Linked DNA regions of Coturnix japonica. The protein of the gene in region 2 purifies or fractionates together with the protein of the main gene of each other region. This does not show direct contact. Links are inferred from orthologs where the notes say so. Each region holds a gene or a part of one and is shown on either strand. Other genes may lie near its edges.

What was found.
Region 1: the proteins of ARID1B (region 2) and BCL7A purify together in Homo sapiens (affinity purification with mass spectrometry; 4 studies listed by BioGRID and IntAct, counting the BioPlex papers as one, with this or other methods). This does not show direct contact. The link is inferred for Coturnix japonica from reciprocal best matches to the Homo sapiens genes ARID1B and BCL7A.
Region 3: the proteins of ARID1B (region 2) and SS18 purify together in Homo sapiens (affinity purification with mass spectrometry; 4 studies listed by BioGRID and IntAct, counting the BioPlex papers as one, with this or other methods). This does not show direct contact. The link is inferred for Coturnix japonica from reciprocal best matches to the Homo sapiens genes ARID1B and SS18.
Region 4: the proteins of ARID1B (region 2) and SMARCD2 purify together in Homo sapiens (affinity purification with mass spectrometry; 5 studies listed by BioGRID and IntAct, with this or other methods). This does not show direct contact. The link is inferred for Coturnix japonica from reciprocal best matches to the Homo sapiens genes ARID1B and SMARCD2.

Annotation. Positions count from the first base shown.
Region 1 is NC_029530.1:4,907,656-4,915,308, forward strand, and holds the start of BCL7A (B-cell CLL/lymphoma 7 protein family member A), read left to right. Parts: upstream 1-3,663; 5' UTR 3,664-3,873; coding exon 3,874-3,965; intron 3,966-7,338; exon of another isoform or gene 7,339-7,597; coding exon of another isoform or gene 7,598-7,632; intron 7,633-7,653.
Region 2 is NC_029518.1:46,219,301-46,226,831, forward strand, and holds the start of ARID1B (AT-rich interactive domain-containing protein 1B), read left to right. Parts: upstream 1-2,788; 5' UTR 2,789-2,883; coding exon 2,884-4,581; intron 4,582-7,531. UniProt on the Homo sapiens protein: Involved in transcriptional activation and repression of select genes by chromatin remodeling (alteration of DNA-nucleosome topology).
Region 3 is NC_029517.1:93,953,682-93,960,600, reverse strand, and holds part of SS18 (protein SSXT), read left to right. Parts: intron 1-1,239; coding exon 1,240-1,407; intron 1,408-2,070; coding exon 2,071-2,175; intron 2,176-4,321; coding exon 4,322-4,414; intron 4,415-5,137; coding exon 5,138-5,260; intron 5,261-6,919. UniProt on the Homo sapiens protein: Appears to function synergistically with RBM14 as a transcriptional coactivator. Isoform 1 and isoform 2 function in nuclear receptor coactivation. Isoform 1 and isoform 2 function in general transcriptional coactivation.
Region 4 is NC_029542.1:1,252,215-1,259,133, reverse strand, and holds part of SMARCD2 (SWI/SNF-related matrix-associated actin-dependent regulator of chromatin subfamily D member 2), read left to right. Parts: intron 1-1,540; coding exon 1,541-1,725; intron 1,726-3,138; coding exon 3,139-3,181; intron 3,182-3,577; coding exon 3,578-3,700; intron 3,701-3,814; coding exon 3,815-3,934; intron 3,935-4,126; coding exon 4,127-4,222; intron 4,223-4,840; coding exon 4,841-4,942; intron 4,943-5,187; coding exon 5,188-5,349; intron 5,350-5,634; coding exon 5,635-5,732; intron 5,733-5,986; coding exon 5,987-6,122; intron 6,123-6,252; coding exon 6,253-6,375; intron 6,376-6,472; coding exon 6,473-6,574; intron 6,575-6,733; coding exon 6,734-6,787; 3' UTR 6,788-6,919. UniProt on the Homo sapiens protein: Involved in transcriptional activation and repression of select genes by chromatin remodeling (alteration of DNA-nucleosome topology).

The DNA.
Region 1 (7,653 bases), on a different chromosome or scaffold from region 2:
GACAAGCGTTTCAGGTCCTTGGTTATGACAATGGGAATGGTGACAAAGTTATTGACAGAGGAGACTTGCTGTCGCTCCTTCAGTGCAGGGGTGAGTTATTTCTTTTCTAATATTAGTTTTACGCTTGCTGGTTCTGTCTTCAATTTCAGAATGTATTCACTGCAGCAAAAAATTAATGTGAAACTATAGCTTGGTAACCAGGGCAGGCACAGGGGGCCACCTGCCCTAGGATTTTAAACTGAATGAGCACGTCTGTTGTCTCAGCTGTACTTCTCTTGCTGCTCTGGAAATCTCTGCTTGTCTGAAGGATCTCATCTGCTAAATGATGAACGTGGATCTTGGCAGACCATATCTTCTTCCAGTACAACCCCATCCTAATTAGCATGATCTGCACCAGTCATACAGGCTCCAGAAAGTTCATAGAAAACTGGAGAAGAGAGGGACAAGAAAGGAGAGATGAAAACAATCAGTCTTGGGCTGAAATCTGAAAAGATGTGTTGGTTTAATTCAGCTGAATCAGAAAGAATGTCATAAGAATACATATAAAGTTACTTAGGGCCAATGCCGGAGTAGCAGACCCTGTACTCGTACTGGCATGCTCCTGCTGTCAAAAAAGGGAGATTTTAGTGCATCTGAGCACTAAAATGGGTAAAGGGAAGTGCTTCTTTTACTCAGTACATCACCCAGTAATACTTGCAACAAAGATCCGTGTAAACCAAGGACTGAAGCAATGTAGGAAAGGTTAGTTATTTATATGTATGGTGTGAACATCCATAAATAGATAATTAGATAGGGTAGAACAGTTTCATAACAGATCTATAACCTCGTGCTTGAGGACACGAACCAGCCACTAGCTGGGAACAAACACTGTGTTCAGATCTCCCAGAATATTAGATTATGACTTTCCTGCTCTGTCTTTTTCCTCCCCTGTGCAGAAATGGCTGCTGACATAGGCACAGGCCTACATGGTCTGTGTTTTGTCCTGGGCCAGGGGTTTTTCAGTGGGAACAGAAGCTCAGGATCCTGCAAGCACAAAGTAGTTGCTAGAGCTGTTATGCAGAGTTTCTCTATTGAATGGATATTTTTGCCCCAAATTCATGCAAGACACAAGACGCATCTTCCCTAGAATTAATGTTTTCCAGTGCTAGGATCACGTTTCAGTTGGTGACATGGTCTGCACCTTAGAAAAAACAAATCTTCCAAATTACCCTATTTTGTTTGTTCACAGTTCTTGCTCAGGTTGCCTTGTAGTTTTTGTGTTAATGACACTGTAACCCAAGGGGCTGGTTTTGTTTTAATGCACACAGGAGAGCATATGATGGAGGATGAGCTGGCGTTCTATCTGTCTGCCCTGCTGGGCAGGCATCCAACAGGAGGAAGATCTGACCTGGACGTGTGTGATCCCTCAGGTATGAGATTAGCATTCTGCACTGCACAGAGGCAGGACTGATTCAGTTCCCAAACAAAACGATGTAAATTGCAAGCCCTTTACCCTGTTAGGCCAAGAGCTGTCAAAAACACTCATGAGTGCAAGAACAGATATAGATCATAGGTTGTCCTTCATCCATGCAACAGTGGGATGAGTGTACCTAAAAATAAATGAACAAGAAAATACAGCTGGAACCTGACAGGGTTACACTGCTGTTTATCTGCTGGCTTGGAAATAGAACTGGAAACACAGTGGAAGGTTTACACGCCAAAGGCAAAGAGGAATTCTACCATATGCAAATTACAGCATTGATTTCATCCAAGCAGCAGTACATATTGTAACAGGATGACTGCATTTGTGTATGTTTCATGTCCTAACCTACACCAGCCTAGAACAGGAACCCTTGTACTGCACACACACAGTGCAGCCCCTGCATACCATTGGCATCATAAGATCACATCAGACCAAAGGAGTGTAGAAGCTGTCTTTGGTCCCTTAGAAGTTATTCACTGCAAAGTGAGACAGCCCACAGACTTGACAGTGTTTCCCTGATGCACTAAGCTAGTAGAACAGTACTTTGTGATTACTGCATACACTGTTAAAAGCATTCAATTCACTTATTTGTTAATTGTAAATTTTACTGTTCTGGAACGCCATTTATACACTGCTCTTGTGTGTCTCATGTTGTCATTGCTGCTTTCCAGATGCAGCAGCTTTGATGGAAGAAATTCCAGAGGAAATCACAGCAGAGGGATTCACTGCCGGCATTCTTGGCCTATCCATTGCTGAGCCAGAAAAAAGAACAGTAAAATGAGATGGATAATTCATCGATGAAGACTCAGATGTGTAGCTGCCACGGTTTTCTACTCGTTTCTATTTTCCAAACTCCTCGAGTACCTGTGAAATACATATTATGTATTTATTAGAAACTCTTGCATAGCTTCAGATTATTCAAACTCTAGGTTAGCTCCCTGTTTAGCACATGCCACAAGCCTATGGGATCAGATCTATTTCCCAATTGTATGTGTTCCTAATACTGCACCCTCTGTCCCACTGCAGCAGAAGGTTTTCATTTGGAAATCTCTTTGGAAGCACTTCTGCTGCCAGGGCATGGCTCACACCTCCAGTGCCCCCTTACACAGAACTGGCTGAATCGTGGCCTGGGTAAACACGGTGCTTTCCAGAAAGGATCTTTGCAGAAAGCTGCATGAAAGCTCTGTTCTAAAGTCCTTATTTCACTCAGGAGGACATCAGTCTGCAGGGGATGTAGCTGTAAGGCATGGCACAGTGGTTGGTACGCTGTCTGTTTGCATGGATCACCCAGCTAGAGCCATTCTTTTCAGGTGGGCTTACACCAAATGCAGTCTATTTCCATTACTCAAAGGGGGGTATTCATTCTTAACACCCAACAGCAAAAAAATAAAGCAATGCAGAAGTATTGATTATATACACTGGTAAATGTTCTGTGCAAGATGCTAGAACAGATTTTTACTGCGCAGACAAAGCTGCCAGCAAAGAGCACTGTGAGATACATTAAAACCAGTTTTCTATTTTGGCCTTTAAAACTTTGTTTTCCCTTCTGAAAGCAGCAGCTCTAATTAGCAGCGTAATACCAATGGGACAGCATCTCCCAGTGTTTGTATAAACAGCATAATGAGGCTGACACGAGTTGCCGTGGAAAGATCAGTGAAGTGCTGTTGAACACGCTTCCTTCTTTACATCATCCTCAGCATCAATTTGAATAATAATGTGGGCCCTCCAAAAGCGTTCCAATGTTTTTTAAACAGAGATCACTGCTTCGCTCTGGAAGTGTCTGTGGTTGTGTAATTAGCACAGTGAGGTGTGTTGCTTTATTAGGTCCAGCAGGATGGATGCTCGGTGTACAGTGGGTCTGTGGTGCACAGCTGTGTGAGGAGGAGGGTGCACTGAGGTGAAGATGAAAGTCGTGGGTTCACTCAGCTTGGAGGGGGCTGTGTGGAGGCCCCATGGCGGCCTGTGGCTGCTGGCATAGGAGCAGAGGCGCAGGGGTTCAGCTCTCTGGTGTCCAACCACACGGTGGGCACACACCGGGCATCCCAGCAGATGTTTCTCCTCTTGTTGGCCGCCAACAAAGCCGCCATGGCCGATCTCCTCACAGCGCCCCTCCCGTCTTGCGCGCGCGCGGGCTGCCGGCGGCGGAGCGGGCTGCGCGTGCGCAGCGTGCGGGCCCGGCGGGCGGGCGGAGCCGAATGGAGCCGAGCGGAGCCGAGCGGAGCCGAACGGAGCCGAGCGGAGCCGAACGGAGCCGAGCGGAGCCGAACGGAGCCGAAGCGATCCGAGCCGTGGGAGCATTGTGCGTGCGGGCAGGACGGAGGGACGGACGCCGCGAGCCGCGCCGAGCGCTGCATTCCCGCCGCTGAGGCCGCCGCCCTGCCCCTCCCCTCCCTCCCCACAGCCCCAGCAGCATGTCGGGCCGGTCGGTGCGGGCCGAGACCCGGAGCCGGGCGAAGGATGATATCAAGCGGGTGATGGCGGCCATCGAGAAAGTGCGCAAATGGTGAGCGGGCCGCGCCGCGACGGGACCTCCGAGCCGCCCCCCCTGCCCCTCCGCAGCGCCCCGCGGGGCCCCGAGCCCGGCTGGCGGCAGCGGGGGGCGGGGAGCGGCGGCACCCAGAAGCCATTTCGCCGCTGCCCGTCACACGGAGGCGGCGGCGTGTGAGGGCGAGAGGCGGCTCCATTGTGCGGCCGAACCCCGGCCCGGAGCCCCCAGCGCCCCCGGAGCCCCTGAAGCGGGCCCTGCGGAGCGCGGCGGGCTGTGTGTGTGTGGAGCTGTGTGTGGAGCTGCCCCTCGCGGGAGCGTCTTTATTCTCCAGCCCCGTTCCCAACCCCGCTGTGAAACTCCATCAGCCTGTTCTTAATTCCCACCTATTCCTTAACCTCGCAACTTTCCGAGCTAACCCGCCAACTTGTGGAGTTCGCGGGCGCTTCCCCACGTTACACCGTGTGAAGAGAATAAGTGCAGCCCGGGTTTGTCTTGTTGTGTGTTAAAGCTGCACCCCTGGTGGATCGCAGCACTTTTAGGCCTGCAGCCTGTTTGGGCTATTTTCTCCTTTTGTCTTTTCTTTTTTCTTTCTGCTCGTATTGTGGGAAACAACACGAGGTGTTGGAACAATGCGGTCACGCAGTTGTTGCCGTGTTTTCAGGTGGGATAAGGAGCAGTGCCACACTGAACCTCTTTCTCCGCCTAGTTGGAGTCTTTGTGTCTTTTGTGCGGAGCTTTGAATAGGTTGAAATGTTTGAAACCCACAGAAAGTCTTTGGACCTGACAAAATAAAGAGTGTTACTGTTGCAGTGGACACTTTGGTTTTGTTAAAACTAACAGAAATAGGCATGTTTGCATATTCTGGAGGCATGGATTTGTTGCTTCTTGAGCGCACAAATGGGCCAGTTGGCCGGAGCTGCACAAAGGACACAACGTGTGCCTGATAATGCCGGGCACGGGATGGGGATTGCAGAGAACCATTGTGCAATGCAGCTCAGTCGTGTTCAGGAACTATCTTCTACTCTGCCACTGTTTTTAAGTGCTGTTTGCTTACTGCTGGGTCAGCTTTGAAGGGTTGCAGCGCTGTACAGCGATGAGGCAGTGCTTCTGATCACACGTTGTTGGCTGTGTGGGACTGTACTATTTTGGCTGTAGGTATTTCATTCATGAGCGCAGCATACCTCCTCCGAGTCCTGCTTTGTGGATGTTGGAGAGGAGCTCGATCACTCAATGGATTGTCTGGTTCTTTTTCCCTTGGGGAGGGCGCTCTGCCATCAAATCAGTTGCTACAGCTTCACCTGTAAAACAGATCTTATGGCACAAACAGGTTTTGTACACTTTAACCCTCACCAGAGCCACCTCGCTTTAAGCATGAGTGTCTGAGCTTTGGGGTTACCTGAGCTGTGTGGGGTGAAGAGGAATTGTCTTGGCCCACAAATAATGTAGTTAATGTATCTAAGTAGCAAAACTTATGTTAAAACAGAAAGATGGCAGCAAAAACATGAATCTAATAGGTTGGACATGTGCAGTTTCAAGGGTTGCTGTACGGAATCATACGACATTACTTCTGAGTATGGTCAGAACTATTCATGTGGCTTTTGGTGTGTGCATCTCACAAGTATTTCCTTGAACCATTTCTCCTATTTGTTAAGGCAGTCGTGGTTTGATGGTGAATCTCATGATTCCCCTCCACCTGCAGTCAAGAACAGTGGGGAATTTAGCCAGAGAAATCCAGCGTTCTGTGGTTTAAGTGTTTTGAGAAGACTGGTGCTGTGAAACTGAACTGTATGCGCTAGGAATTCCTGCATCTTGAGAGGAGCCACATAGGCAATTTCAAGTGTGCGTTTTCATTTGCTTAATGGGAGCAATTTGTTGCCATCCACAGCTCTTCTGTGGAGATGCAGCCGCTGAAGATTAAAATACCTTGCATACAACAGAGTTTTCTGGGACACGTGCACTTGGAGCGCTGTGTTCCAGTACCAAACAGGAGCAGAGTCAGGTCGTGTATATTGTGAATGTTGAATGACTCCAGTGCGTGTTGCCCTGCTTTATTGACATGGGAAGGTGTGTGGCAGCCTCACTTTGCAGCGCTGCTGTGTGCTCCTGTTGCCACATCTCTGTATGGGCACGTGGGAAGTTGCTTTCCGTCAGTGCACGCTCCATTCTTTGGAAAATATATATTGTATTCTTAGACAGTTTCTCTGCCCTTCAATGCAGGCAGCCTGACTTCACGTGTTGGTAGAGAGCTGGTGCTTCTGGTGTTACTGCAGCTTGGCTGAGAGTAGTAAACAGTGAAGTTGTTAGGATTTTATCTTGAGATTAATGCTGCCTTATCTCCTTTGTTTAATCCACTCCCGTGAATGAGCTTCTATTTTAGAAAACATCTAGCACGTGTCTTACAGAGTACATGGCTGTGTTACATTTCCGTGGCGGCAGTGTTAAATCTTCATAACTAAGGGAGTTTTTGAACTTTTTTTTAAACCATACTTATATTTCTTTCAGTCTGGCTGGAAGAAGAACTGAGAATAAATGTAACGATGTGAGTTGTAAAAGATACAGGGTTATTTTTGTTCTAGAGGTTGGCAGGTATGTGTGGATTCTAAATAGTTCTCAACTAGAGAGGGATAAAAAGTACTGTGCCCTCATCTGTAAGTAACCACAGCCCATGAGATGATGTGACCTGGTGGTGTTGGTTGGGATCTCTCAATGTTGTTGGCTAAAGTAGAACTTCTGGACTGTGGTTGTCCACTTGCTGTCTCCATTCAGGCTTGCTAAAATATTTTAAGCGGTATGTAATGCTCTGCAAAGGAGCTTCTGCAGATTGTCCTGCCCTTGCTTCCTTCTTAAAATAGATTTTCCCTTCAAAAAGTAGGCAGGGTACAGAACTTCTTGGTGTGATGTCTTTGGAGAGGATGCTGCTGCCAGGTTGTCCCATTAGCCAGGCTGCAATGGCTGCGTGGCTGCCTGCAAAGGCTGCGGTTTGCCTGGTGGCAGCTGAAATAAAAATACCCAGTGTGTGTGAGGGAACTGTTCTGAAGTCCTGTAGCATTCCAAACACAGTTACCATGGATGAATTACAATATGAATTTTCTGGCTCATGGTTATTTCTTTTTGAGCCAGAATATGCTCGCTGACTTTAGTGCAAGTTGGATGTATGTATAAGGTAGAGTAAACTGTGTTTCTCGTGACTGCAAGGAAGGCTGCGTGCTACGACGTGGAGCTCAACAGAACTCTTAAAAACGTGCCGGCATGTACAAGTTGGAGGCTGCTACTGCAGCATGCTCAGCTACAGTTGGAGAGAAGGGGCCCCTGGCCGTTAGTGTTTGACCATTAGTGTGTGTCCTCTCACACTACTTTACACTTAATTGTATTTGCAGCATGGTCAAGAAACACCTCGTGTATTTGGGGTACTTCATGTTAGTCGCTGGACGAACATCTACATAGAGATAGGCATGCTCTGAAAGCAAGCCTCCATTTCAAAAACACCTTTATTTGTGCATCTGACAGCACTTTGTGTGTATAATAATGGCATTTTCTTTCCCATCCCCCTTTCTCCTTTGCTTGATCCCACAGGGAGGTCATAATTCTGTGATTTTCACCAAACTCTGTTGCAATGCAAGTGAGTGTGATGTGATAAATTCAGCATTATGACGTCACTTCATGGTCATCAACAGAAGATGGGGTATGTGGGAGCAAATCCTCG
Region 2 (7,531 bases):
GGAGAGCTTTTGGAAAGGAGGATCTGAATTTAACAAACACTACCACTCATCATCTGGGCAAAGATGGCAAAAGGAATTTCAACATTATTTGTGATGTACAAAACCGAACCATTGCTGCTTTGTGTTGTGCTTCCCGTGCACAGACTGCAGTGCCTTCTGTCTGCTTGAGGGTGTGGCATCTGCCATTGGGGAGGAAAACTGGCATGTGTTGCCTTTTATAGCAGCCTGATTGCATTGTGCTGGGGGCCTCTATTTCAGAGGCTCTTGGTTCCAATCCCGCAGCCGACTTGCTGAAACACATGGAAGGAACAAGAGCAGTACCAACTCCTTGGTTTAAAGCATCACCTTTTTTTTTTGTTGTTGTTTTTCACAGAGAAAACATTTCAAATGAAATCTCTGTTAAACTTTGTGGGTTATTTTCCTGATCATGAGTTGTGGAGAACATTGGGAAGTTCTGAGGTGCTGCCGAGGTGCTGTCAGCAGATGCTATCTGGGTTTAAACGTCTATATTTTTGCTCAGATAAAATGTGTACAAAAGTGTAGTCGATCTTATGTTTTATTTTAGAGCACACGTGTAAATAAACACACACAAGTAGACATCTATATTTGTATTTGCATATGAAAGGCTAGAAAAAAATCAATGTACGCTATTTAATGTGTATAATTAGCGAGCATTTGAATGTAAAAAAGAAGAAAATCCAGGAGAAAATGTCAAAAAGGCTCACTAACAAAGATGTAGTATTCTCTTGGCAAAAGCTGATGAATGATTTGGCATGAATTCATCGTACAGTTCTGTTGTTCTCTCTCCCACAAAGATGATATACCCCATTCGAGCAGTCTGCATAGAACTGCAATCTGTTGTTGTTACCGGCCGTAATGACCCCTGGGTACACACCTGATTCCCCCTGCTAGACTCACTCACCATTTTTGTGCCACTCTTCTTTCTAGTAGCCGTGTAACATCTCGGCACTTGCAAACAGTACCAAAAGAAAGAGAAAAATGCGGTTCTAATGTAAGCGATGTGTTTGATGACCAGTGAGACTTTTCAAACCTGGCTCCATAATGGAGTATTTCTGAGTACTTCTGACTTTTCAGACAGAACTGAAATTAATAAGGGACTGGAACTGCTCTGTTCGCACTGGATCAATAATTATGGCATGGAACTCAATGTCAGGGCATGACGCTTCTGTTCTTTAATGCTTTCACAATGGGAATGATTAAGTCCACCTGCAGTCCACCTGGCCGTGACAGCATCTCCCATGACATGCTGCATTTCTCTCTACCAGAATCATTGAATTTCCTATTTATCTATTGTGAAATTTGAAAATGTGGTGATCATTAACAGCACGCATAGAAATATTCATTTAAAACCGTGTATGTAGGCCCTTACTACAATGAAGACGTTTGCTAACATCTCAGTTTGCTAGCTGCTTCCTTAGCAGAGTATTTGACCTCCAGATGCTTTATTAGTTTAATGTAGTGTGTAATGCTTACTTTTTCTTATGCTTGGGTACCATTTGTATCGGAGTAGTCATACAAAAACACTCCAAAAAAAACCCCCTCCATTCTGAGGGATGGTTTAAAAATGTAGGTCACCAGTAACAGCTTTCCACGTGCTATTTGGATGACATGTTTTGACTTTTGTTCTGGTATCGCACAGTGTCCTGTGCCCACTGGAAACTACATTGTTTGGGGAAACAATTACAAGACTACATGCCTCTCTCTTCTTGATCAGCTCCCATTATCTGCAAATAAGTACAGAGAACATATTGAGAACAGCCCTATATATAAAAGCATCATCAGCGCAAATGACCATTAGAATTTGGAGACAGCTGGGCAATGTGGACAATGGCACCGATGGTACGGCTTCAGAATTTAAGTTACGTTTTATAGCTGTCAGCACTGAAAATACAGATTTCGGGGGGGAGGAATAGGAAAAAAAAGGGGGGGAAGGAGGGGAGAAAAAAGAAAAGAAAAAAAAAAGAAGAAAGAGAAGAGAAAGTCGTGTTTTTCCGCGAAACATCCTGCATCCCCCGCCAGAGGAACGGAACGGAGCTCCTTTCCACACCTCCGAACTCTGCCCGCCGCCTGCGGAGCCCCGAGGCCGCCCGCTCCTTTCCTCCCTTCCCTCGGGACAGCGACCGCGGCCCGACCGCTCCGCCGCCGGCCCCGTCCCCGCAGCGCCGAGCGGGCGCGGGGCATCGCGATCCGCCGCCCCTTGACGCTCCACGTCCCGGAGCGGGCGGCGAGCGCCGGTGCCGGCGGATTCCAGTCCGCGTTTTGCGAGTGCGCGGGGCGCGGAGGGGGCGATGGCTGCCGGGGCTCGCCCGCCCGCCCGCTCGCTGCTGCCATGCTGGGCCAGCGCGGCTGAGGCAGACGTGCGCGTCCCCATATCCGGGTTAGGGAGGAAAGGAGGAAAAAAAAAAAAAGTTTCATTTAAAGCCGAACAAAAAAGTTCCAACATGAAGTCACAGCGCGGCGGCGGGCGCGCACCGTGAGGCGCTGTGCTCCGCTCCGCTCCGCTCGTAGCACTTCTCGGCCGCGGACCGAGAAGGGGATTTGTGCGGCCCGCAGGGACGGCCCGGCCCGGCCGAGCCCTGTCGCCCCGCTCCTCATCCCCCACCCCCCCCCACACCCCCCCTAACCCCCCCCAACCCCCCCTAATTCCCCCCCAACCCCCCCTATACCCCCCCTAACCCCCCCCAACCCCCCCTAATACCCCCCCACCCCCCCCTACACCTCCCCCCTCCCCGGCTCACCCCCCTCGCTGAGCGCGGGGGCCGAACTCCCGTCTTGTTGTTTTGTTTTGTTTTTTTTTTGCCCGATTTTTAGTCTTTTCGGTCCCGGCGCCGGTCCCTCCGACCTCGCGATGTGGCGGTGATCATGGCCGCGCAAGTGGCGGCGGCTCCGGCGGGGGCGAACAACGGGCAGGGCAAGGCGCCGGGCCCGCCGGAGCGCGGCCCCGGTGGGGGCCCCTCGGCCGAGCAGCAGCACCCCGCGCCGGCCCGGCGGCAGCACGGCGAGCCGGCCATGGCCCACCGCGCCGCTCCCAACGGCGGCAGCGCGGCCGGCGGCCCCTCCTCGGAGCCGGCGCTGAAGGAGGCCGGCGGCGGCTCCGCGGCGCGCTCCTCGTCGTCCTCCCCGCCTTCCTCCTCCTCCTCCTCCTCCTCCTCCTCCTCCTCCACCCCGGGCTCGGCCATGGAGACGGGGCTGCTCCCCAACCACAAGCTGAAGAGCGTCGGAGGCGATCACCCCGCCGCGCCGCCCCACCACCACCACCGTGCCCACCACCCGCACCACCGTGCCCACCACCACCACCATGCCCACCGCCCGCACCACCGCCACCACGCTCCGCCGCAGCCGCTGAACCCCTTCCCGCCGCTGCCGCCGCAGCAGCCGCCGCCTCAGCACCATCCCGCGCAGAATAGCGGCGGCAGCCTCGGCGGCGGCGGCGGCGGCAACAACAACGGCGGCGGCGGTGGCGGCGCTGCGCAGCCCGGCGCAGACATCGAGCAGCAGCAACATGGAGGAAAAGACGGCGTCCTGGGCGCTCCGGCCGAGCCGCCGCAGCAGCCGCCGCAGCAGATGCTGAATAAAGGCGCCGACGAGGAGGAGATGCCCGGCAAAATGGGCGAGCCCATCGGCGGCCGCTACGAGCACCCCGGCTTGGGACCCCTGGGCGGACAGCAGCAGCCCCAGCAGCCGCCCCCGAGCGCCGGGAGCGGCGGCGGCCTCGGCGGCGGCGGCGGTGGCGGCGGGGGAGGCGGCGGCGGCGGCCCCTCCGCGGTGGGTGTCTCGGAGTTCAACAGCTATTATGGCAACGCTGCCCCCGCCGCCGCCGGCAGCGCTACGGCGAGCCGCGCCGGGCCTTGCTTTGATCAACATGGCGGACAACAAAGCCCCGGGATGGGGATAATGCACCCCGCGGCGGCCCCCAACAGCATGGACCCCCTGCAGAACTCGCACGAAGGGTACCCCAACAGCCAGTACAACCACTACCCGCCCTACGGCCGCGGGCCCGGCGGCGGCGGCGGCACGGGCACGGGCGCGGGCGGCGGCGGCGCGGGAGCCGTGGCGGCGGCGGGAGCCGTGGCGGGCGGCGGCGGCGGCGGAGGCTACGGGGGCTCGGCGGCGGGCTACGGGGTGCTGGGTTCGCCCCGGCAGCCGGGCGGCGGCATGATGATGGGCCCCGGCGGCGGGGCCGGCCTCGGCAAGGCTGCCTCCGGCGCGGCGGCGGCGGCGGCGGCGGCCGGCGGCTTCGCGCGGTTCTCCGGGCAGAACCAGCACCCGTCCGGGGCCACCCCGACCCTCAACCAGCTGCTCACGTCTCCCAGCCCCATGATGCGGAGCTACGGCGGCGGATACCCCGACTACGGCGGCCCCGGCGCCCCGCCGCAGCCCCAGCCCCAGCCCCAGGCGGCGCCGGCCGCCCCGGGCGGCCAGCAGGCAGCGGGCATGGGCATGGGCAAGGACATGGGCGCTCAGTACGGGGCGGCCAGCCCGGCCTGGGCAGCGGCGCAACAAAGGAACCACCCGGCGATGAGCCCCGGCAGCACCGCGCAGCCCATCGGCAGGACGCAGGTAAGCCCCGCGGCGCCCGCTAAGGGGCCCGCGCGCCGCTCGCGGGTCCCCGCGCCGCTTTTTGTTTTCTTTATTTTTATTCAGATTTTATTTGCCCTTTCCCCCCCACACTTCATCCCATCCCCCCCCATCCCCCGCGTGGGTCGCTCCCTCCGCTCGCTGCCCCCTCTCGACACCCGCCGTGCTGCGGGCACGGGCTCCGGCTGGGCCTCACGGCGCCGCGTTGCTGCTGGGAGCAGCGGCCGAGGGCCCGGCCCGGCCGATGGGGCGCCGTGCGGCCGCGCTGTGTGTGTGCGGGTCGGTGCGTTCCCTTGGGGCTTCCCGTGGCGCTTCTCTCTTTTGCTAACAGTTCGGGCTGTATTTTTCTATCCGCACACAGCGAGTTGTCCGCGCTAATTAGTTTGTCTCTAACGCGGAGTTACCGCAGTGCACGCCGCTCAGCGCAGCTCGCCTGTTAGTTTTTTATTCGTGTTTTTTTTTTTTTTTTTTTTTTTTTTTTTTTTTTTTTCCCCTCTCTCCCTCTGTGGGAAGAGCGCGTGTGTGCGCGTCGCTGTGCGCCTGACTCACGGCGCCGCTCCGGCCCCAGCGCCGCGCTTCGCCCCTCGCATCCGCAGGGGCCGGGCCCGTCCCGGCGGGTCGTGGCCCGGGGGGGGCGTTAAGGCTCGGGGCGCCGCCGAGAGCCGCCCCTCCGCGCTCGTTCCGGCCGGGAACCGCCGCTTGTCGCCGTGGCGGCCGGAGCCCGTAGTCGAGGAGCGGCTCCGCTTCTCCGCAAGGTTTGGAATTTGAATTGTGGAGGTAAACGGGCTGCAACAGTCTCCAGACAGCTGCCTCCGAGTTGACATCTAATCTGCCATCTGATTGGCTCCCTGCTCGCCATTGGGCACTTCGCGCCGCTGATGTAAATAGCAGCGCCGAGCGGCGATGCCGGCACCCACGGCCCCGCCGACACCGAGCGGCCGGGTGGGGGTGGGGGGGTGCGGCTGCGCGGGAGCCAGCGAGGAGGGGGCGGCCGGGGGCGGCCGGGGGCGAGGACGGCTCTCATGCCTTCCTGCCTTCCTGCCCTCTCTCGTCCTCCTCGCTGCCGGCCCCACGCTGGTGTCGGTGGTGGTCGGGCTCCGCGCTAACGGGACGTGCCGGGAAGGCGGCTTTTGAGAGCCGCTCTCGAGTTGCGCGCGTGGAACCTTTTGTGCTCCTCCCGAAGCGCTTCGTTATGCGGGTGTTATGCAAGGGGTGTGAGGGCCGTGCGAAAACAGAATGCCTGCTTTGGTTTTATACGTCTGGATGGGGATTCAAACCCCACCGTAAACTTGAGGCCGTCGGTGTGGGCTCGCTCCTCGCTCAGCCTCCCGCGGCACCCCTCGCCGTGCACTGCGCTGCCGGGAGCGGACGGCGGGCGCCGTACAAAGGAGCGAGCAGAGTGGGGCAGGAGAGCTGCGGGAACGGCGGGAGGAGCCCCGCGTGCTGCTCCGGTGGGAGCCTGCGCTCCGCTCCCCTGCAGGACGGCGAGCGCTGTGAGGCGGAGCAGCGCGCTAGGACGGCGCGCCTCGCTTTTCCCTTCAGCGAGTCCTTGCAGTTACAGAGCTGTTAAATCCGGTAATAGCTTTTAGCAGTGAGCGCCGGCAAGAACGAACGCGGGCGTACATGTTTGGGCGCTCCCACGGCGGGGTGTGCCCGTACAGTGCGTTCTGAAAGCAACAAAACCCGGAGAAAAGACGGGGTGACACTGTGGGGGAGGCGTGGAGCGTGAAAAATAGGAGCAGAAGCCCGGGCTGTGTCTGCCCGCTGCCTACAGGGCTCTCCTTCGGGTCTGTGGGTCTCATTCCGCCTCCTTTATTTCTTCCACGGAAGTGAGATTCCTTTTGAGCGTCGATTTTTCCCTTTCTAATTTTGCCCTGCTATCGGGGTCCCTGGGAGCCACAGGGTAATAAGGCTCCTCGCGTGCACCCTATTGTAATTCATGTAAGGACACCGCGTTTTTTCGCTTGCGTTTGAACACGGGCAGTTTGGAATCCATTGCTTCTAAAGCTGGGAAAATCGTGCTCCGAGAGGCACAGCACGGCACATGGTTCTTCAGAGCGCTATTTCTCATGGCACGAATTGTTAAAAGTATTTTATTTTTATTGGCACGAGAGTAAATTCATTATGTCCTCAGTATGACCCTTAGAAATACTTCCTTATATTTATGGGTTTGTGTCCTCTCTCACAGATCTTTTTTTCCCCTGGTACCGTAAGGAAATAAGATGCAGCTCACAAAGAGCAGACTGCCAAGGGTGCTATTCTTTAATCTTTTTATTTGTCATTTTTTTCTCAAAATAATAGTAATAAAGGCAGCTCGTCACTGTCCTTCATAGTGAGATTTCTCCATCTAAGCATTTGGGTTGAGATAAGAATTTTTCTTAGCTTTCAAATGAACGTTTTTAACATAGAAAATGGGTTGCATCAAATATTAAAAAAACCAAAAGGAAATACTTGCCGTTAGCTTACAGAACACAGTTATTTCTGTGTGCTGCCTTTTAATTCCCAAGCGTCCATCTCCAGGTGCACTTGATCAGTAGGTAGAGAAATGGAGGCTTTTAAGAGAGCAGAAGGTAAGATCCAGTCCAGCAGCTGAGCACGAGGCTTCTCTTAGTTTTTTTTAATAGTCACCTGTGCGTAAGCTGTGTGTGTGTACACGGGCATTAGAATACACTCAGTTGTCATGTGTCTTTGCAAAGCAGGAGATGATTGGCCCCCACGCCTATAGGAACTGCTGAGCTGTGAGCAGAGAGCCGAGATGCTCATGCAGGGGGTTCCTGCCTCAGTGGGCAGCTTGGAGGCCGTGGAAGCCCGTTCTGTGTTTGTACAGCCTGTTAAATTATTCAAGGAAATTTTGCTTCAGTTTCATTTAATCTCCGTTCCGATAGTGAAAGGAAGTGTCAGCTGAAAAAAGAGGCCTCTTGTTTTCAAAGAA
Region 3 (6,919 bases), on a different chromosome or scaffold from region 2:
ACAACAGAAATAGTGGAAAAGAAATGCAATGGTGGAAATTGGCAAGTAGATGACAGCATTTTTCTCTTGAAATGGAGTGTGGTTGGTCTAGTCTGATATTTTTATTTGTTTTATTTTTTTTCAGTGAGTCTAATTATTTTCTCTTTGTTGTTTAATTACAAGATGTGCGTTAGTTTTTTCAATTGGCATATTATGAAAATAGATTGTTTGACAACTTTAGCTCTTTGTCACAACTCTTCTCGTATTTTAATGCTGAAATAACTCTTCTGAGGAAGTGAAGAGGCTATTCTTTATTAAAAGTTTTATCAGCATAACCTACATTCAAATGAAACGGCTCAGTTATCATTTCATTGCTGTACTGTGTCAGTGGGTCACTCTTTAGCTGTCTGTTTTCATTACTGGTTAACATGACTACACGTTCAGCCTTAACCATGTTTTCTTGAGTGATTAAAACATGGGCAGTACTTGATCTCTCATGTTCTATCTGTGGCTCATAGAAATTTGGAAAGGAATGTCTGGATGTAAGGAACATTTGGATGTTGTGTTGAGGGACATGGCTTAGTGGGAGTTCTTGGTAATAGGTGAATGGTTGGACTGGATGAACTTTTAGGTCTTTTCCAACCTTGGTGATTCTGTGATTCAGCAGCTTGGTACTGAAAGATTTTTGTACTAATCTGTGTGGGACTATTGTGTGGAGGTCAGTGCATATATTCCTGTGGGTCTTTTTGCATAATGCCTGTTGCATGATTGTCTGACTCAGTTATGCAAGTAGTTTGTCTTTACAGGCTAAATAAAATTGTTTATTTTGTGATAACAGCTAGGTGGTTTGTTCTTGCACTATAACAACAGCTAAAGGTATATTAAAACTGTGCCCCAAGGAATTTGCAGTGTTAAATAACGTTTCCACAACTTGTCAAGGTTTCACAATCAGGTATTATATCTACATATATGTATATCTACATTTTCTTTGCAGATTCTTTTTTTAAACAAACATAGAAAAATGAAGAAAATTTTAGTTATTTGTTTATGAGTAAATTTGTATCTCTAGTTCAAAGAAGACGACGTCTAGAAAGCAGTCCTACATAGTATGAGTTCTCTTTCATAGCTTCATTACTGAACTCATTGTATTTGTGTAGGTGCAGAAACAACTAATGTGCATGAAATAACTGAAAATAGAGACTTTGATCTGCTTTTTAAAGTGGAGTTACAGAAGACATATTTGTTACTCTTCTTTTATAGGTCCAATGATGCACCAGCAGCCTCCTTCCCAGCAGTACAACATGCCACAGGCTGGTGGCCAGCATTACCAGGGACAGCAACCACCTATGGGAATGATGGGCCAAGTTAACCAAGGCAATCACATGATGGGCCAGAGACAGATTCCTCCATACAGACCGCCACAGCAAGGTAGACCTTCTCTTCAGTGTTCTTACATTGATTTTAAATAACCAGCTGGAAAATTATTTTGAATAATTTTCTTGTTTACACCAAATCTCAGTGAAATCATTGGGTGTTCCAGTTACAGACTTTGTTTGCAGACTCTTTTTTTTTTGTTTCTTGTAGCAACAGGTTACTGGTATCACAGTTAAACTTGAATGCAAGTGAATTCTGTTTCAATATTAAAATGATAGGTATAGAAAAAGAGTGAAGTACCTTCCTGATTCTGAATTTGTTCAATTATAAAAGGGAACAGTGTTCTGCAGCCTTGTTTTTTTCTTTTTTTCTTTTTTTATCCCCCCCCCCCCATGTCTTTCTAGAAAAAGAGTAACTTCATTTTTAATACTTGGTGCTGTTATACATGTGTTCCCAAAATGATCTCAGAACTGAAGTTTGATATATATGTACTCAATCTGATGCAGCCAAACAACTGTATGCTTGTATGTGTGTGTAAAATATATAGAGATGTTTTTGTTGTTGTTAAGTCAAATAGATTACGTATGTTGTCCGAAATACAACAGTATGGGTGGGGAGTACATTTGAGAAATATTTCTCATAGTAAAATCAGAAAATAGCAGACTTTATAATAGAGAAAACAAGTTATTTACCTATTGACTGGTTGTGGTTTTTCAGGCCCACCACAGCAGTACTCAGGCCAGGAAGACTATTATGGGGACCAATACAGTCATGGTGGACAAGGTCCTCCAGAAGGCATGAACCAGCAATATTACCCTGATGGTAATCTCTCATAAATGTTGACTTTCCCATTTTCTATACCTGCCCAGTATTAATGCAGATATGCCCAAAATTATGGAATGGGACAAGAGTAGTAATGGAATATCATACCTCACATTTACAAAAGCTCCCAAGTTCAGAATTGTTCATACAGTTTTAGTTACAATGAGTAATTAATTTTACAATTTAGAGTATGTGATTTGTAACACTCCCATTTGAAACTATAACAACAGTTTTAGTATTTCAAAGTGAAAAATCTGTAATTGGTGTATCTAAAAGGAGGGATCTTTAGTATGTCTGGTACAGTCGAGATGAATTAAATCATAACTTCATTATAAATAAAAGAGGGGGTGATATTCTTTTAATAAAGATTCTACTGAAATTGATGAACTTGCTTAAGAAATGTGTTTTTCTGTAAATATTTTATATTTTTAACTTAGTGCTTAGTTTTCATGTCACACAAATGTGTTCTTGTTGCTATTGGTATGGGCCTTCAGTGTAATTTTCACAAAGGTATGGAACGGTCCCTGCCCTGAGGATCTTGTAACTGTTAATCCTCCTTAGAAGTCCCCTACCACCCCACAGGGCTTTCTAGGCAAGGCCATAACTTTGAATTGCATAAATCTGTCCTCCTGCCTCGTGGAGTTTAGAGTGCTAAAGGCTATTGTGTTGTGTTCTAAGTTAGAAAAGTTGCAATTGACCTGTTTTTAGACTGAACAGAGACTGGGAGAACAAAAACGTTGAGTCATGACTGCAGTGAGAATAGTGTGCACAGTATAATGCTTTCTTAAGAAGTTCAAGGAATGTGGTAGATATCAGTGTTTTTTAACAAAACAAACGTACACAAAGCTAAACAGTGTTATTGTCAGAGCTGTTGCTCATTGCAAATAAAAGGGCACAGGTTAGTTGGCTGAATTTTCATTTCTATTAAATTGATTTTAAGATACAACAAGCCATGCATATATAAGTTTACGTGTGTTATTTTTGGATATATGTGTGCAAAGCTCTTTTACAGTGGGCATAACTCATCATTATTAAACTTTTGTTTTTGAACTTCCATGTTATAAATGTGAACTTTAAATGATTGTTGTATATTTACTATAGTGAAGGCAATTGGACATAATCACTGACAGATCTGTGGCAGAACAGAGGAATTCACTGAGAATTATTCCTTCTAAAGATTCATTCTTTATCACTACCTCTTTATCACACTTCTCTTGAACTAGAGATTGTATTATAAGCTTTGTGTTAATGATTGTGTATTTTATTAGGTTACATCCATGAAGTATTGTACAGTTCCAGAAGTAATTTCAAAGACCACTTATTTTATACTGTTTTCTTCTATAGTAGCTACCTGATCTAATTTTATTCAGAATTTAAACAAAATTTCATCTTCATTTCTTTACCAGAGTAGCAATGCAATATGTTCTTGTATTTTTTTCATCTGTCAGATGTACTTACTCTTAAAGCATCAAACAGGTGGGGTGCTTACTGCATGTATTGGTTCCATAATCGGAGATACCTACTGTCTCTGAATAGAAGAGTTTGTTTGTAATGATTCTGCTCAGGACTGGAGGAAAAGTTCACTAAGGCTTGTAGGAATTACTTTTGTAGGGAAAAAACAAGCTTGGGAATATTATTTTTCTGTCACTTCAAAGCAAAATTTAATGTAGACTGTAATCCATAACTTTGCTGAGCTTTATTTGTTCTATTTCACACTGCTTTTAGCATATGCTTTCGAATTGGAGATCAGCAGAACAGGTGTTAGACAAAGTATGATAATTGCTTTCTTTGTTCATTCTAATTTAATTCAGGTTATTTACATGTGAAAGGCCTAAATGCTTTCTTTTTTTTTTGAGTGAAAGATAAAGTATTTTTTTCCCCCAACAAGGATTATCAGAAGGTTAAGATCATCCTTTGCTGTGATGTTGCTAAAACTACTGCTTTAAGCTTTTTTTTTTCCTGTCACATGTTAATTCAGTATGAAAGAAAATCATATGAATAAAACTTTGACTAATACAATTGAAAAATATTTTTCATGTATATCCAGTTGAAATTTTTTTTCATTTTTCTGAGAAATGAAATATTCTTAGGGTTTTCACTCAGAGGCCATTAACGTTTCTTCCTGTCTCTTGTCGAATTGATGTAGGTCATAATGATTACGGTTATCAGCAACCGTCGTATCCTGAACAAGGCTACGATAGGCCTTATGAGGATTCCTCACAACATTACTACGAAGGAGGTATCTATATACCTTCACACACATACGCACATACATTCCCTTTCCTCCCCCACCCGCAACGGGAACCAAAATTCTTGCACAACACAACTTATACCCATGCAAAGCTCTTGTAGAATACTAGTTGCTGGCTGTCTTGAGAATTGCAGGGAACTCGAAGCATTCAGAGTAATTTCTTGCAAACACCTAAAATATATAACCATAATTTGCCATTTCTAACAACAGTAAAATGACTAAAACACTTCAGAGATTTTTTTATTTTTTTTTAATCTCAATGGAAATTTTTATTTAAACATAAATTTGTTGGTTCAGTTCTAAATCTTTTTGTGTGTGTATATATTTTGTATAATTATAGTGCCGTTAGGAAACAGCTTGCTGATCTTGTGTAGCTAGTCTGTGCTCTTGTAGCTGTCCTTAATTTTGTCTTTTTTATTTTATTTAGTATAGTCATGATCTTATGACTGTGACGTTCCAGTAAATGCAATGCTCCTTTGGCAGAGATGCTGAAAGTGCTGCAGTTCAACTCTGCAAAATTGGCTTTAACTGCAGTTTGTTTGGCCGAATTCCTTCTGTTTGGTTTGAGTTTTCTTTGTTTTGTTCAGTTTTTGAAATCAATATTGCATTTTCATTTTGTTCTTGTGTTGTTGGCTGTGCATCTTAAAAGGAAAAATATTTAATCAAGTAAGCACCTTCAGTTGTTTCTTCTTTCTCGCAATCATCTTACAGGAAACTCACAATATGGTCAGCAGCAAGATGCATATCAAGGACCACCCCAACAGCAGGGTTACCCACCACAACAGCAGCAATATCCAGGCCAACAAGGCTATCCTGGACAACAGCAGGGTTATGGTAAGAACCTGACGGTGCAGGCAGTAGTTGGAGATAACACTAAGAGGTCTTCGTATGTTATTCTGTCCTGATTTTACTGGGTTGAAAGGCTGGGCTTGTGCAAGGAAGCTGTATGCTCTCAATTTCAATGGAGCAAAACAAGGAAGTGTAGAAAACAGCATCTGTTTGGAAGTAGATCTGTTGCAAGCTTGGACAACCTGGTTACACAGAAAGCTGAGCCATGTCTACATACTATCTTCAAAAGCGTCTGTAATTTAGAAAAGCTCTGCTCTATTCTGTGTCCTTGGTGAACACAGTCTAGAGGGCATGAAGTTGGCAAAGAGTCACCTACGCCACTCCATCTCTGGACTTGGCATTTAGAACAAAATCTTTAAAAACAACAAACAAACAAAACCCCTATTTAAAATTCATCCAACACAAATGAATCATTCAATTGAAATTCTTGTACCTACAAGTAAAGAAAAGACCAGCAGCATTACCTATGGTGTTTTCTAAGGATTTGTTTTGCAAATGCTTGAGCTGATGGTGCAAACTGTGTAATGTATAGCAAGAATGAGAAATCTGCCACAAGTTAAATGATGTATTCTTTAGATTCAAGGAGAACTCCCAAACAGGAGACTTAAAGTAATAGTAGGTAATTTCTGTGAACTGTCTGTGAAAACTGTAAGTCAGCAGATATTGCTCTTATTTCTGCTTGTTGTTGTACATCGTAAAGCTGTACATATTTATCTTAAGATATGCAACATCTAAGAAGCAATCTCTGAAATCTAATTACATATGTTTTAACTTTAGCTTTCTGGTAGGTTTACATGCTAAGACTTACTGCATTGTGGAAACGTGTGGAAGTCCATGGGTGACTTCTTTGCTGTGTAGACAAATGCCGAGATTGCCCCAAATCCAGTTATATTGAAACAGTTTTAAGGAAGACCTGCTGACATTAAGAAAATCTCCTTCTTTTGGATGTTATGGAAAAAATTAGAATTCTAAAATAACGTTTGTGTACTTACATTCTGCTAAGCTTAATATAGGAACAGAAGGAAGGTCTAGCTCTCTATTCTGATTAAGTAAAGAAATAAAATCTAGTATTCTGAGTATTTGGGTTAAGAAATACTAGAGGAAGCTATTTTTGTAAACCCCAAAATTGCGCTTTTTTAGTTTCTTTTTTTTTTTTTAAGTAAAAATAGACATTGAAGCCCAAAATTAACACATTCCATTTCATTTTATAGAATTTATTACTGAATATTTAGAATTCAACCGTAAAGTATGACCATGAATAAATAAAAGCCAGGCTTCATTTGTCAGATGAACACAGCACTTTTTAGGATATAGTAGCCCTGCTCAATTTAATATTTAATTGCTTTCTAATTTGCAAAAATAAATCAGCATTTCAGTCATTAATATCAATCTTTAAGGTTTTGTTTCACTGTTCAAAGCAGAAGCTGTATAGTTCAAGGAGATCTGAGGCCTGAGGAGAATGGTAATATGCTAAGGAACTCGTCTTTGCTTGGTCATCTTTCTGACTGTCTTGTAGATCCACAGTTACCAAAAGAGTTACGGGCCAGTGCCTGTAGCTTGATCTAGCCTACTCTTGTACTGAGTCATCTTATTGATAAAAAGTAATCTGTTTTCTGTGATTTAAAAAAAATAAACACCTGTTTT
Region 4 (6,919 bases), on a different chromosome or scaffold from region 2:
TCCAGAGCCGAGGGGGCTGTTTGCCCTTAGCAGGACTGCATGGCCACAGCAAAGGCTGCCTTGCTTTGCTCAGACACTTTTCCATTGCAAATCTTGAGGGCAAACTGAGAAATAGATGCACATGGAGGATTCCCCCTTCCCTTTTTTCCTATTGGAGGGGAAAAAAGGCGAAATGACTCCGTTCTGAGGGTTTCCATATGTCTTTGCTGCTAATCACAAGTGTCACAGCCTCTTTTCTTGCCCGTTTGTTCTCCATTAGCCCTTGCAGGCAAATCAACACGGTTCCTGCAGCGCCCATCCTGCTGTAGCCATGCACAGCCCCAGGCAGTGCCTTGCAGCGAGCAGAACCCTGCAGACAAAGCCTGTGCAGCCCTGTTTGCAGCGAGGCATTGCCAAAAACGGGGCTGATCAAAGGGAGCAAAACATCTGGGGGCTGTTAGGAAAAGCTTGTGTGCCTCGTAGCTCAGGCAGGTTGGCGAGCAGCTTCAAAGGGAAGCCAAGCAAAGGTGAAAGCAGCAGATGGTTGTGCAATGGGTTTCGTGCGTGTACTTGATGAATTCCTCCTGCAGTCCCCATCCTGCCACCTCCTGGGCTGCTGCTCTTTGGCTTTCCAGCTGTGGAATGCTCCTCCATGCTGAAGCTGGTGTATTTTGGGGGTTTCCTGCTGGGTTTGGCACTTGGGAGGGATGCCCGTGGCTATGGACTGTGGAGCAAGAGCTGTTCATATATTGTCCAGCAGCCTCAGCAATTCTGTTGTTTGCATTTATAGGCTTTTGGGCTATTCCAATGAAGGAGGTGAGTGGGTTTTGGCTCCAAGCACCCACAGTGTGGCTCTGAGCCTGCCTTTAAAAGCTGCTGAGGCCAGGCTGGCTGCTGCTGGTGATCTTATGTGGGATTTGCACTGGAATTAATGCCTACATGCAGATAAGCTCGTCAGCCTGCAGCATTGCCTGCGGCTGAGCTCTCCTTGCTGGACTCCTGGCCCCTTTGGGATAACGAGTTGGCTTTGCTAGCTCCTGTGCACCGAAGCTCTGTGTCTGTCTGCAGGATGTGGGTCAGAAGGCAGCAGGGGAGCTGCAGGAATTGTCTTGGCATGTCAGGGAACCTGCAGAGGGGAAGAAATGCTGTTCTGCTGGCTCGGTGGCTTTCCCAGCTTCACCAGTTCCTTGCCAGGGGGGAGCTGGAGGATCAGAGAATAACAGAGAGCAGGCAGAGCGTGCTGGAGCAAGTAGGGCTGAGCAGCAGTGGGGTGCTGGGAGCTTTTGTTGAGCACACAAGGGCTGTGCATGGGGCAGACCCAGAGTCAGCTGCTGATGCTGGAGATAGAGACCACAAGAACTGCTCCAGGCTGGAATTCATGCAACAGAAGTTAAACATCCCACGGGGGGGGGGGGTTGTAAACGCCCTGTGTAGGTGCCTGGAAGTGAAAGGATTCAGCACTACATCCATCAGGAATGAAGGCCACCCTCCTGATGTCCTTGCCCTGGTTAAGGGGCCCATGTTTAACACCCCCCTCTCTTGTCTCTCTCTCCCCTGCCAGCGCCCCGGGATGCCACCAGGCAGCCGTATGCCCATGGCAGGGCTGCAAGTGGGACCTCCAGGAGCACCCCCATATGGAGCAGCATCCCCACTGCGACCCGGCCTGCCACAGTCCATGATGGATCCCTTCAGGAAGCGTCTGCTGGCTCCCCAGTCCCAGCCACCCATGGCCACCCAGAGGAGAGGGTAAGGGCTGACACAGGAGCACCCTCAGCCAGTCTGGAGCGGAGGGGTTCACTCTCTACATCTGGTTGCTGTTTTCTGGTTGCATTTCTCCACTAAAACCTACAACATGGCCCAGTTGTTGGCACCGCAGCTGGTGGGAAAGCAGCCAGGGCTCAGTGCTGGGGTGGTGGGTCAGGCTGGGGTGCATCACTTGGCATGCAGCTTCCCCATGCTCTGATCTCCCCAATGCTAACCAAACAGCTGAATGCTTTAGCTTAAGCAGCAGCTTGTCAGAACCATTCCCTGTTCTCAGGGGCTTTGTGCTGTCCTGGGCAGGCACAGAGATAGATGGACACTCAATTCCCAGCCCTGGAAGGAGACAGGCAGAACTGCAGAGAGCTTCTGGCAGGTTGCAGGGATCCTCCCCAGATCTGTGGCTGTTTACTTGGGATGGTCTCTGTGAGCCATGAGGTTTTGCCAGCAGCTCCTCGCTTGTTTATGATGCTGCTAATCCCTCTGCTCTGTTCCTGTTTCTGTGAGGGCTTCTAGATTACTGGAGGTTATTCCTCAGGGTCCCTCAGTCCTAATGGATGTTCTGGTCCTGTTCCCTGCCCTTGCTGCACAGTGAGGCTGATGGCTTTATGATCCCTTTGCAGGGAGTGACCAGTGTCTCTATGCCAGGGCTGTGCATCCATTCTGTGCTCCAGAGCAAGCTGGGGATTAAGGACACAAGGCTGATGGGTCCTCGCCCACTGAACAGGGACGTCAGCAGCTGGATAAAGCTGTGGCTGCGTGGGATCAGCTGTGCTGGGGAGCTCAGGGCTGTGCACAGAGCTCTGCTGAGCTTCCCTGCTCCTGACTGGCTGTGGAAGGAAGGGGATTATAAGGGTGGCAGCACCAGCCCTTAGTGGCCAAATCCTGGGATGCCTCAGGATGGCAGCAGTAGTGCCACATTTTAGTGCCACATTTGCTGCCCTGTTGCTTTAGGTACTGTCAAGGGAAAGGAACTGTCCTGTGCATGCTGGGCTATAACGTAACTGTGAAAAATGGGGCCAAGTAAGAGAGCATTTTCCCATGTGTTTCTCTCTGTTCCTGGGGTACAGTGTCTTATCCACTTGCTTCCAAGGTTTCTGCTATTAGTTGCTTTTACAGCCTTTCTTCATTCCCTTCCTGCAGTTCTGAAATGCCTGTCCTGTAGCTGATGGGGGCATTTCCCCTTGGATCACGTTGTTTGCTGCAGTAGGATCTTGGAACCTGGCTTGAACTGATCCATCCCCATGGCATCACAGCACTCCCCAAAGCCTGGCCCCATGCATGGCCTGGGTGGGGCCAAAAGAGCCCCCACGCTGTGTCCCCCAAGACAGGCAGCCAATGAGATCTGCAGTGTCCTGAGGTTGCTGCAGGATGATTTCTTTTACTTCATTCTAATTGCAGGGTGAAGAGGAGGAAGATGGCTGACAAAGTCCTGCCACAGAGGGTGAGTGTCACTTTGGTGCATGGAAGGAGTTGACGATGAAACCCCCATGGTAGGACGATCTCATTGAACCTCGTGCTGCATGATGAATTGGATGAAATGCCTGGAACGTTTCAGTCTTGTAGGTTAGAGAGAGGGATGTGCACAGTTAAAACAAGCAGGGCTTTGGGTGAGCAGGGAGCAGCCCTGGCTTGCGATGCAGACCTCTGGTCATTCCCAAGCTTTTCTCTTGGGGTTCCTCTTGACAATGCAGGGTTATAATCCCTGCCTGTGATGTGGAGCAGGTACAGTGACAAGCTCCAATCAGTGCAGCTCTGTGGGCTGGTAAAGATGCTGGGCTTGAAATGGGATGCAGCACCACCTTCAGCACATGAGGGACTGACTTTTATCATTTGATAGATCCGGGAGCTTGTCCCAGAATCTCAGGCCTACATGGACCTCCTGGCCTTTGAGCGCAAGCTGGACCAAACCATCGCTCGGAAGAGGATGGAGATTCAAGAGGCCATCAAGAAACCACTGACGGTGCGTGGCTGGCCAGGAGGGCAAGCAGCTGAGGGAGGGTAGAGGTAGGAAATGGGAGCTTGCAGCCATCCTCTCGCTCCAAGCATCCCCACTCTTTGTTTTCCTATTCCACAGCAAAAGCGGAAGCTGAGGATTTACATCTCCAACACTTTCACCCCGGCCAAAGAAGAAGGGGAGGGTGGTGAGCGTGTGGCCTCTTGGGAGCTACGCGTGGAGGGCAAACTGCTGGAGGACGTAAGGATCTGGGCAGGGATCAACGTGGCAGTGGGAGGAGGGCTGAGAGCTCTGGTGCTCTGTGCTGAGAGCCTGGCTGGGATAGATGCAGCCTTTTTCTCCCTGGCTGCTGGAGGCAGGCGGTGTTTTGGGCTGGGGCCCTCCATGGTGTTGGCAGCATCAAGGCCAAGCCTCGCACGCAATGTTTTGCAGCCAAGCAAACAGAAGAGGAAGTTCTCCTCCTTTTTCAAGAGCCTCGTCATCGAGCTGGACAAAGAGCTGTACGGGCCAGACAACCATTTGGTGGAGGTGAGATGTCCTTGGCTGCACTGCGGGGCTGCACCCCAGGAGGGATGAGAGCTGTTCAGTGCAATGGGAGGTAGCCCTGCTTACCCAGCAGTGCTGAGCCATCCCCGAGGATCACGTTGCTGTACTTCCTAGGCTGCAGTTTGCAGCTCAGTGGTGCTGGCTGGCAGCCCGGTGAGGCCAGCCCAGCCCCTCTCACCTGGATGGCTCCCAGCTGCAGGCTGCTTGCTCCATGATAGCCCCAGGGTTGGTTCTTAACTCCCTCGTGTCCATGGGTGGAGCTGGGAGGCATCTGCTCTGATGGATGGCTTGGGCAGCCCCAGGCTCCTTCAGTTTTGTGACTGTACTTATGGCAAATACTGATTCCTGTGGTGATACCCCCTTGTTGGAGGTAAATCCCCATTAGGTGGGATGGTTTGTGAGAGCTGCTGTGGCATCGAGCCCCTATAGTGGGTGAAGCAGGACTGTGATCCCACAGTGACTCTGGGAGCTGTTTGAGCAATTGGAATCAAGCATTCAGCCCAATCCAGTGCTCCCGTAGTCCACCTGAACTGCCTACAGCTGGGCTGGAGCTCATCAGTGTTGGTGAAACCAAGTTAAACAGTGTCCCTTTATTCCTAGTGGCACCGTCTGCCCACGACCCAGGAGACTGATGGCTTCCAAGTGAAGCGTCCTGGCGATGTCAATGTGAAGTGCACCCTGCTGCTGATGCTGGATCACCAGGTAAGGCGTTAGCAGTGCCATGCTGCCCTCCAGCACAGCTGAGTGGGCTGAAACAAGCTGGGGAGGGTCTTGAATGAGGGAGGCAGTTGGGTAATGTGCTGTGATACAGAACAGGGACAGAAAGCAGTGGAGAGGAGCTCTAGGAATGAGCCCTCAGCCTGCAGCAGCACGAGGGCTGTGCAGGACACTGTGCTCACTGAAGGGCCACATGCCAAACATGCCCTTAATTCTGCATGTCCCTGCAGCCACCACAATACAAACTGGACCCTCGCCTGGCTCGCCTGCTGGGGGTGCACACCCAGACCCGTGCCAGCATCATGCAGGCGCTCTGGCTGTACATCAAGCACAACAAGCTGCAGGACAGCCACGAGAAGGAGTACATCAACTGCAACCGCTACTTCCGACAGGTGAGTCCACGGCTCTCCTTCACCTCCCTCTGGGATGCCCTTGCCCTCTTGTTTCTATGTGGGTCCCTGCTGGGGAGGAGAGCACCATTCCCCATCCTTCAAAGCCAAGAAAAGCATTTGTTCCTGGCTTGGAGTGGTCACTGTCCCCCTCCCCATGCTCTGTTGTGCAACTATCAGCTTGGCATGCACAAAGCAAGGTTGAGCAAAACCTTGTTCCTGCTCAGGTGGGTGGGTGGAAGGAGCCCCTGATACTGGCAGCTAAATGCTCTGCTTTTACCCCTCCAGATCTTCAACTGTGTCCGTATGCGCTTCTCTGAGATCCCCATGAAGTTAGCAGGGCTCCTGCAGCACCCGGATCCCATCATCATCAACCACACCATCAGGTAGGGCTGTGGGAGTGCTGGGCAATACCCCCTTTGGGGGGGCTGGGCTGCATGGAGCAATGGGTGGTAACTCTTTGATGAGGATGCAGGGCTGCAGGTGCTGTGAGATGTCCATCTCAGAACAGCAGTGAGTACAGAGGTTGTTGGGAGGGGAAAAATCAGCCCAATAACTTCAGGAGCTCCTTGGGGCAGTCCTTGTATTGCTTTTGAGGGTGGTTGATCTGCCTCCTCCTCAACACTCTGCCTCCTTCCAGCGTGGACCCCAATGACCAGAAGAAGACGGCCTGCTACGACATCGACGTGGAGGTGGATGATCCCCTGAAAGCTCAGATGAGCAACTTCTTGGCTTCCACCACCAACCAGCAGGAGATCGCCTCACTGGATGCCAAGGTGAGGGGCTCCCCCCTATCTGAACTGGGGGGGTTTGGTGCCAGCTGTGTCTTGGTTTGGGGGCTTCCATGAACTCCAGGTCCCATGTAGTTGTTCCACCTGCCTCTCTCACCTTCTGTCATCTCTGCAGATCCATGAGACCATCGAATCCATCAACCAGCTGAAGACACAGCGTGATTTCATGCTGAGCTTCAGCAACAACCCGCAGGATTTCATCCAGGAGTGGATCAAATCACAGAGGAGGGACCTCAAGGTAAAAATGTCGAGGGTAGGGCAGGGCGAGAGGCAGGGAGGCTGAGCAGGGGCCAGCCATAGCGCTCACCTTATGCTCTCCCTTATGCTTTGCTTAGATCATAACAGATGTGATTGGGAATCCTGAGGAGGAGCGACGAGCTGAGTTTTACCAACAGCCCTGGGCCCAGGAGGCTGTGGGCAGACACATCTTTGCCAAGGTGGGTTCTGTGCTGTGCTGGCGGGGTGCTCCTCTGGGCTGAGATGGCAGCAGGGAGGCTGAAAACAGGGAGCAGGGACTGCTTGTATGGAAGGAGTTGGTGCTCAGAGAGGGACAGGGCCTGCCCCAAGCCCTGCCTGACCTCCCTCGCCTCCTCCAGGTCCAGCAGCGTCGGCAGGAACTGGAACAAGTGCTTGGGATCCGCCTCACTTAAGAGGCCAGCAGGGCTCAGGAGCTGTTCCTCCTCCTCTCCCTGCTGCCTGAGCCTGTCGGTACTTCTTACTGGAATCAAATACAGCACTTGCACAAACCCTACGTGCCTGGAGGGATTTGGAACCTCTCGTAC